2 linked regions of the Mus musculus genome follow. The protein of the gene in region 1 interacts with the protein of each later gene in a biochemical or structural test. Links are inferred from orthologs where the notes say so. Each region holds a gene or a part of one and is shown on either strand. Other genes may lie near its edges.

Evidence for each region.
Region 2: the proteins of Tnni1 (region 1) and Tnnc1 are reported together in a solved structure, tested with the Homo sapiens proteins (2 studies listed by BioGRID, with this or other methods). The link is inferred for Mus musculus from reciprocal best matches to the Homo sapiens genes TNNI1 and TNNC1.

What each region holds. Positions count from the first base shown.
Region 1 is NC_000067.6:135,805,921-135,809,489, reverse strand, and holds part of Tnni1 (troponin I, slow skeletal muscle), read right to left. Parts: intron 1,970-3,569; coding exon 1,880-1,969; intron 858-1,879; coding exon 681-857; intron 1-680. UniProt on the Homo sapiens protein: Troponin I is the inhibitory subunit of troponin, the thin filament regulatory complex which confers calcium-sensitivity to striated muscle actomyosin ATPase activity.
Region 2 is NC_000080.6:31,206,864-31,211,153, reverse strand, and holds the start of Tnnc1 (troponin C, slow skeletal and cardiac muscles), read right to left. Parts: upstream 2,843-4,290; 5' UTR 2,800-2,842; coding exon 2,776-2,799; intron 1,352-2,775; coding exon 1,321-1,351; intron 1,095-1,320; coding exon 948-1,094; intron 591-947; coding exon 476-590; intron 1-475. UniProt on the Homo sapiens protein: Troponin is the central regulatory protein of striated muscle contraction. Tn consists of three components: Tn-I which is the inhibitor of actomyosin ATPase, Tn-T which contains the binding site for tropomyosin and Tn-C.

The sequences.
Region 1 (3,569 bases):
CTGCCCAGCACATGATACAAGATGAATAGGCCAGACAGGAGCACAGAATGAGGCTGTGTGGATGGGAGGGTCTAGGTAACTGTCACAGGGTCACAAAACTGGTTCCCAGTATATGACAGGCCAACCTCTCCTCCAGGATCCACAACACCCTCCTGTGGGACACCCTGCAGTTGGTTCAAGGTCACCTCCTCCAAGAAGCCTCTCCTGATTCATTTAACTTGTTTTCAATTTTGTCAGCATACTGGCTTGGCCTGTTTGTCTTTATTAAGCTCTCTGGGCCAGATAAATTGCTCTCTCACCATGCTCCTCACAGCCTGTCAGCTCTAAACATGTTCTGTGAGACCAACAAATTTGAAGTAGTTGTTTGCTAGGCAAGTTAATTGAACTCGGTTCTCCAATTTCTATGCACTCATGTTCCTATAGCCACAACGAGAAGCTGAAGTGACAGGGGTAATGGTTACCCCTTAACTGATATGGGAAGCAAGTTTTAATTTCCCAGTCAGCCTTTCTCTCATCCCATTGTCCCCTCAGACTGGAAGCAGCCAGTAGTCTCTCTTCTGACACTGGCCTCCTAGGGGATCCTAGAATATCCTGATTCACACACTGACTAGAGCGCCTCAGGCAATGTAAGAAGTGGCAGATAGAGGCCAGTAGGCGGGTCTGAGGAGAGGGGCCCTCACCTTTTCTGTGTCTTCTTTCTTCACAGACTTGAGGTTGGCCCGCAGATCCATGGACACCTTGTGCTTAGAGCCCAGTAGGGCTCGGAGCATGGCATCGGCTGAGACACGGACCCGGCGCAGGGGAGGACGCTTGAACTTCCCACGGAGGTCCAGCACCTTCAGCTTCAGGTCCTTGATCTGGGGGAGCAAAGGAGCCAGGCTCTGACCTAGAGTTCTCACCCTGAGGATCCAACCACTGGGCTTCCAGCTAGAACCATCCTACAAGTCCTCCGGGCTCCAGGCTAGACCATCTGGGGTGCTCAGAATCTCCTACCCTTTTCCAAGCAATCACTACACACGCTAAATGTTCTAAATGAACTTTTACAGATTACGCCCACTAGTTAACCTTGCCTCTTCCCCATAACCAAGTCACAAATAAATGATAAGCCAATAAACCTTTACTCCCATTTGGAAGCCTTGTGTGGGGTGTAAACTGCTTTCTCCTTCCCTCCATCTTTGCTCTTAGTACTCAACCCTGCCCAGGGCCTGCACAGCAGCTGAGCCTTGACTGACACAGCAGGTAGAGGAGCCCTAAATCCTACACCCTGATAATCCCAGGGTGTGGTCTGCAAGGGAGTTCTCTGGAGCTTAATGGCATCACACAGCACCCTCGAAAGCAGGGTAGGGTACGGAAGTGCCTGCTCACCTTGGGCCAATGCTCAGAAGCAGCCCATGGTTGGTCCTAATGCCCACACACTCCACAATGAAGGGCTGAGTCCCGTGGAGTGGGAACTGGAGCACAGAGCACAGTGTGCATACTGGGACCCCCATTTTGTGACCCAAGCCCAAGCAAGTGCTTAGCCTTTGTGAGTCTGCATGTCCTCATTTGTCAGGGTCAGGTAATAGCCCCCGTGTCACCCGCAGGCGTGTAGGGAGGATCAAAGGATTCAACTGCACTTGAAAGCCCTTCACAAACGTAAGATGTCATTAACAGACATCTGATTGCTTGTGTGGGTGAGGGAAGCCGGCAGCTTCTGAAGAGCTCACGTGGCAGGTGGGGAGGAAGTTTGTTCTTTTCATGTGTGGCTATCCTTCCTGCCCATCTCCAGACCTGTGGTGTTGGGGTGGATGCTGAGAGCCTGCCTCCCAGGCTCCGTAGACCCAGGAGAGCCTCACAAGTGCCCGCCCAGGCGGTCCCATCCCCCACCTCCAGGGCCTACCTCTCTGGTGTTGTGGAGGCATTTGGCTTCAATATCATAGCGCTCCTCATCCACCACCTCTACCTTGGCATGGAGCTCTCGGCACAAGTCCTGAGGAGTAGATCCACAGCATGAGAGCGGAGAAGAGGGGGAAGGGCCACCGGGGCCAGCCTCCTTTTCCTGTGTGCACACTGAGCACGCTTAGCCCTATGGTCCTTCGCTTTGCCTGCACTGTAATCCCAACAGGAGCGGCCTCTGCATGGGGCTCAAAGCTGTCACCATCAAGGGAACAACTCAAAGCATAAGCCTTTGCTCGCCTTTCTGGTCTATGCTTGGTTTCTTTTTCTAGCTTTTTGTAAATGCTAACTTTTTTTTTTTAAGGTAGTATCACTATGTAGCCCAGGCTGGCCTGAAAGCCTTGCCATTGAGTGTGTCATAATCTTTACATATATGAATTCATAGACATAGGACATACAAGACCCACACTGATTCAAACCAGGCAAAATCCCAGCACAGAGAAGGGAAGTGGACACAAAGCCCCACCCCTAACCAAACAGTTATTTACAACTGATATTCGCTGGGAAAGGGGCAAACAGCTTTCTCCAATGGTGTCGCTATGTTTATTGAGTTCCATGCCCACAAGCAGACAGCCAACAAAAAATAAACTCCATGTCTCCATGTTTCCTCTGTTTTGTTTGACTTTTTTTTTGTTTTTTTGTTTTTTGGTTTTTGGTTTTTTTTGTTTTTTGTTTTTTTGTATTATTGTTCTCCCCCACCCCACGTGCCTTGATCTCTCCAGGGTCTCACTATGTAGTACTGTCCTGGCTCACTCTGTAGACCAGGCTGGTGTCAAACTCACAGAGTTCCACCCACTTCTGCTTCCAGGATACTGGGATTAATGGTGAGCACTACCACACCCAACCTGATTTTCTGACTTGCTTGCTACTGTTTTAATTTTCACGGTTTTTTGTTTTTTGTTGTTTTTCTTGTTTGACTGGTTGGTTTTGGTTTTGGGCTTTTGGTGTTTTTGTTTGTTTGTTTGTTTCTTTTTTAAGAGAGAAAGAACACAAAGTTAGGTGGGGAGGGAGTTGAGAAGAATCTGAGAAGAGTTGGAAGAGGAAAAATATGATCAAAGTATATTGTATGAAACTGTTTTAATTAATAAGTGCTTTTAATTCACAGCCCTCCAACCTCTGTCCCCTGAGTATTGGGATTGCAGGCTCATGCCTCAGCAGCAAGCTCATAGTTATTGTCTATAGATAGATAGATAGATAGATAGATAGATAGATAGATAGATAGATAGATAGATAGATAGTTTTGTGGTATAAAAGTGATATAAGTTAATAGTGGAAATTTTGAAAACTCAATATTAACCAAAAATAGTAAAATTAAAATAGCCACTGCTGTGGGAGACACATGGACATATTTTCATCTGGTCTTTTCTCTGCAGCCACTGGCGTTAAAGCAATTACTAACAGTTCAAAAAAAGCAAAGACTTGGGACTGGAGAGATGGCTCAGCGGTTGAGGGTACTGGTAGCTCTTCCAGAGGACCAGGGTTCAAATCCCAGTACCCACATGGCAGCTCACAACTATCTGTAACTCCAAGATCTGACATCTTCACACAGAAACACATGCAGGCAAAACACCAATGCACAATAAATAAATAAATCATTTTTTTTAAATTCCAAAAAAAATTCATCCTGAAAAAAA
Region 2 (4,290 bases), on another chromosome or scaffold:
AACCCACATATACAACCCCAGGAGGCAGGGCAGGGGCATTAGGAGATGCACATTCTATGTCTCACCTCTCATTGGATGCAAAGACTGCAGGGTGTCTACCCGAAACTACTCTTTCTTTCTTTCTTTCTTTCTTCCTTCCTTCCTTTCTTTCTTTCTTTCTTTCTTTCTTTCTTTCTTTCTTTCTTTCTTCCTTCCTTCCTTCTCTCTCTCTCTCTCTCTCTCTCTCTCTCTCTCTTTCTTTCTTTCTATCTTTCTTGTTTGTTTTTGCTTTTGTTCTTTTCAAGACAGGGTTTTTCTATGCAGCCCTAGCTGTCCTGGAACTCACTCTGTAGACTAGGTTGACCTCAAACTCAGAGATTCACTTGCCTCTATCTCCCGAGTGCTGGGATTAAAGGTGTGCGCCACCACTGCCCAGCTGAAACCACCCCTTCTCCTCTCTGCTTGGGCCAGGGTCAGAAGCCAAGCAAGTCCTCACTTGTCAAACATGCGGAAGAGATCCGACAGCTCCTCCTCAGACTTCCCTTTGCTGTCGTCCTTCATGCACCGAACCATCATGACAAGAAACTCATCGAAGTCCACTGTGCCACTGCCTGTGGGTAGGCAGCAGGGCCGGAGAGAGAACAGTTAGCATTCCAGCAATCCACGCCCCCCCCCCTCCTCCCCACACTATAGGGCTAGTGTGTTCCTTTGCCCACTCCTCTTGTTTGAGATAGAACCTTGCTCTGCAGTCCAAGATGGACTGGACCATAGAGAGCTATGTGACCCAATCAGACTGACTTCAAACTCACAGCAGATCTACTACCTCAGCCTTCTTGGAATCACAGTATGAGCTACTTGCCAAGTTTCTGGATGAGATGGTGAAGATATGGAGGGGAGGTAGCTCCTGGGCCAGTGAACCCAGGGTGCTACATACACGTGTGGAGACTGGAGTGGGTGAAGGGACTCACCATCCTCGTCTACTTCGTCAATCATCTCCTGCAGCTCCTCAGGTGTGGGGTTCTGGCCCAGCATCCTCATCACCTTGCCCAGCTCCTTGGTGCTGATGCAGCCATCCTCCGCGCCCAGGACAAAGATATCAAAGGCAGCCTTGAACTCTGGGTCCAACAGAGGGTGAGAAGATTGGATCAGCAGCCAGGAGGACACTAGGAATCCAGGTCCCTGGGGCCACCAGGAAATTGTCCACCTCCCTTCGAGAGTTCTTTGAGGTCACAGCAAGGAGAACCCTCAGATTATAGCCTCTAATCTGGGGTTCATTCCTGGAAAGGCGTCCCCCCTCTACGCCCCCCCAGCCCTGCTGTCCCCTCAATGGGAGACACTTACCATTCTTCTGCTCCTCTGTCAACTGTTCTACCTAGAGAGAAGAGGGGAACTCAGGACCTCAGGACCCAAGCTCAGGCCTTAGCAGACTTAGAGACTGACCCCATTCTACAGGTGGGAAGAATGATAACAGAAGGAGAATATATTCCCAGGTTACAAAGTCCTCCTTCCCTGCCCTAAGGTGACCCAGATGGTTTCTCAGAGGCTGGGCTAGGGCCAAGGTGACAGGCAGGCACCCCTCCCAGGACCAAGGTGTCCTGAGTGACAATAGTCATTGACCATTGCATGTCCTTTATGTCATCCTAATGAAACTTAAGCTGCATGGCCTGAGAGACAGCTGTCCCTCAGGTTGAGACAATAAAACGAATGTGGGGGCGAGCAAAGCCACCCACTGTAACCTGACCAGGGTGGCCACTGAGCTATTTTTAAAGGGGGACAAAGTTAAACCTGGTGATTGTTCTGGGGACTTTGGTATGCAGGGGGTGGGGTAGTGTTATCTGCCCCCCTGGCCTACTGGTGCTGCCTCAGGAGCCAAAATTAGTCCCCAGCCCCGCCAGGCCTTGTATGGGCACTGGGTGGAGGGCCACCCCCCTACTCCAGCTCCACAGACTCCTACAAGATAGCCAAGGATACCATAGGAACCAGCTGCAGCCCTTCCCTGCTCACAAGTGGGGCCATATTCCGGGGGTTGGGAGAGAATTTCCTGAGAACAGCTGTTTGCTAGGATTTTCTTGTCTCTGAAGCAGGTATATCAAAAGTCCCTCAGCGTCCCCAGGAAATCGAACAGTCTTAGGGTCACTGTTCTCTAACCCTGACTCTTATCACTCTCAACTCCTACCTAACCCCTGAGCCTGCCAGGGACTGAGGTTCCAACAAGCCATTCCTTCTTCCCTCCCTCTCCTCAGGCCTGTACCTTCAAAGCATCTTTCCCATCCCAGGACTCAAGTTCTCCAGCCCTCTCACAATTCCCTCCCACCTTCTAGAGCCTCCTCATCCAGCTCAGGGGCTAGAGGAGAGAGGCAGATCTGAGTATGTAAGAAGCAGATTGTGAGAAATGGAAGCTTGGGAGGGGGTGCGGGGCGCAGACCTGGAGACACACAGAGAGACAAAGACTCAGAGACATCGTGAGGAAGGAACAGAGATGGAAAGACCTTGTGAAAGACCAACAGATGTCTAAAGAATAAAAACACAAATACACTCAAGACAGTGACAGGTTAGAAACAGAGGGAGACACAGGATGCTGAAAGCTGAGACCATACCCCTAGCCACATTGACAAACCCCTGAATTGCTACCCTTTCTGCATCCCCCAAATGTCAGCTCAAGGGGCTGGGTTACAGGTGTGTGGGGACCCTTTTGAGTCCCCCATCACTTCCCTAGTGTACCCCTGTCCTCCATCCTTAGCTAAGGGAACCCCAATGGACCTACCCACCCTAACCCCTTAAAGATTCATCTCTCACCGCAGCTTTGTAGATGTCATCCATTCTGGCGACAGCTCACAGGACAGGCTACTGGGGTTGCCAGCCAGCCAGCCCTCTGCTTGGGCTTATATAGCCCTGCCTCCCTCCACCTCCTGCTACATTCCCAGCCCAGCCCACCACTGCCTGGAATATCCTCCACCCCCTCCCTGGTCCCTGTAATCTCAGGCTGGCCAAAGTCCCTGTATCATCTGCCTAGGGCCAGGAGCTATGAAGGACTGCAAGGACCAGGTCTCTTGCCATCTGTTCCCCAGACCCCACCCCACCCCCAGGGAAGTCTCAAGAAAAAAAAAAGAATGTATTGCTTTTATTTATGAGTGCATGTGGAAGTCAAAGGACAACTTGCAGGAGTCATCTATCTCTCTCTGCTACCTAGGTTCCCAGGAACCCAGGACTGAACTCAAGTTTTCAGGTTTGGGAGCAAGCACCTAAATGCAATACACACACACACACACACACACACACACACACACATCCTCAACAACCTCAGGAAAAAGTTTCCTGAATGAATGAAAATATGAGCACACAGGAAATGTGAAGTAAACAGTTCGGTCTTCTATGGAATCACAGTGACTTGCCTGAGGTCAAGCTGACCGGAGAATCCCTACCTTATATTACACCCCCTGAGAGATGGTAGCATGCCAACAGAGGCTGGCAGTGTAAGTCCTGCCAAGAAACACTTCCTATGCAAGGTTCAGAGTATAATATGACACTGGTAATGGAAGAAGTCACTGGCCCACAAAGAATAGGCTGGCCTGAAGCCCTTCAGCGGGATCTACCACGCCGCAACCTTCCATCTTTCAAGGACAACAATCAGTGTTCACTTCGGGTTTGAGTCAGCTGCATTCTGTGAGTCAACAAGTGTCCCTAAAGAACCCTATGTCTATCAGGATTCTCTCTTTTCCTCCTCCGGTTGGGTCATCTCTTCTCCAGCTAAGTCTTCCCTATGGTTGTTCCCTATGGATGTTTCTTCAGCCACGCTCTTGTGTCCAAGGCCTAGTCTGTCTCCTCCTCACCTTGAGCTCTTGCAGGATGTCATCTGGGAAACCAGATGGACAGCGCATATCTCTTCCATCCACCTGCACGTCTGCTGCATATAAGCTCTCCCTGAACACACCAGTGTGCCGCCTAGCACACTGCCAGGGGAAAGCCCGTGGGGTACTGAGCACTGCAGAATCACCACAATCAATTCTCCACCAGTACTTTTAACAACAAACCCCCCAAGTGTCGGAGAGTCCCTCTGGTCCTTGTTCCATCTCTAAGTCTAGTCTTATTCATTTTGCTCTTGCTACACAGGGAATGAACCCAACAGCCAGGCGAGACCCTATTAATGTCCCCTCTGGAAACTGAGGCCAAGCGAAGCAGAGTGACTTCGGAGAGTTCCGAAGGCCCATGGCCTCTGCCCTTCCCTGCTGTGAGCCCAGCGGACAATGACCACAACTGCCCGAGGGGACAGAACGCCGCACAGGTATACAGAAAGCAAATTGGGCAAGCCCG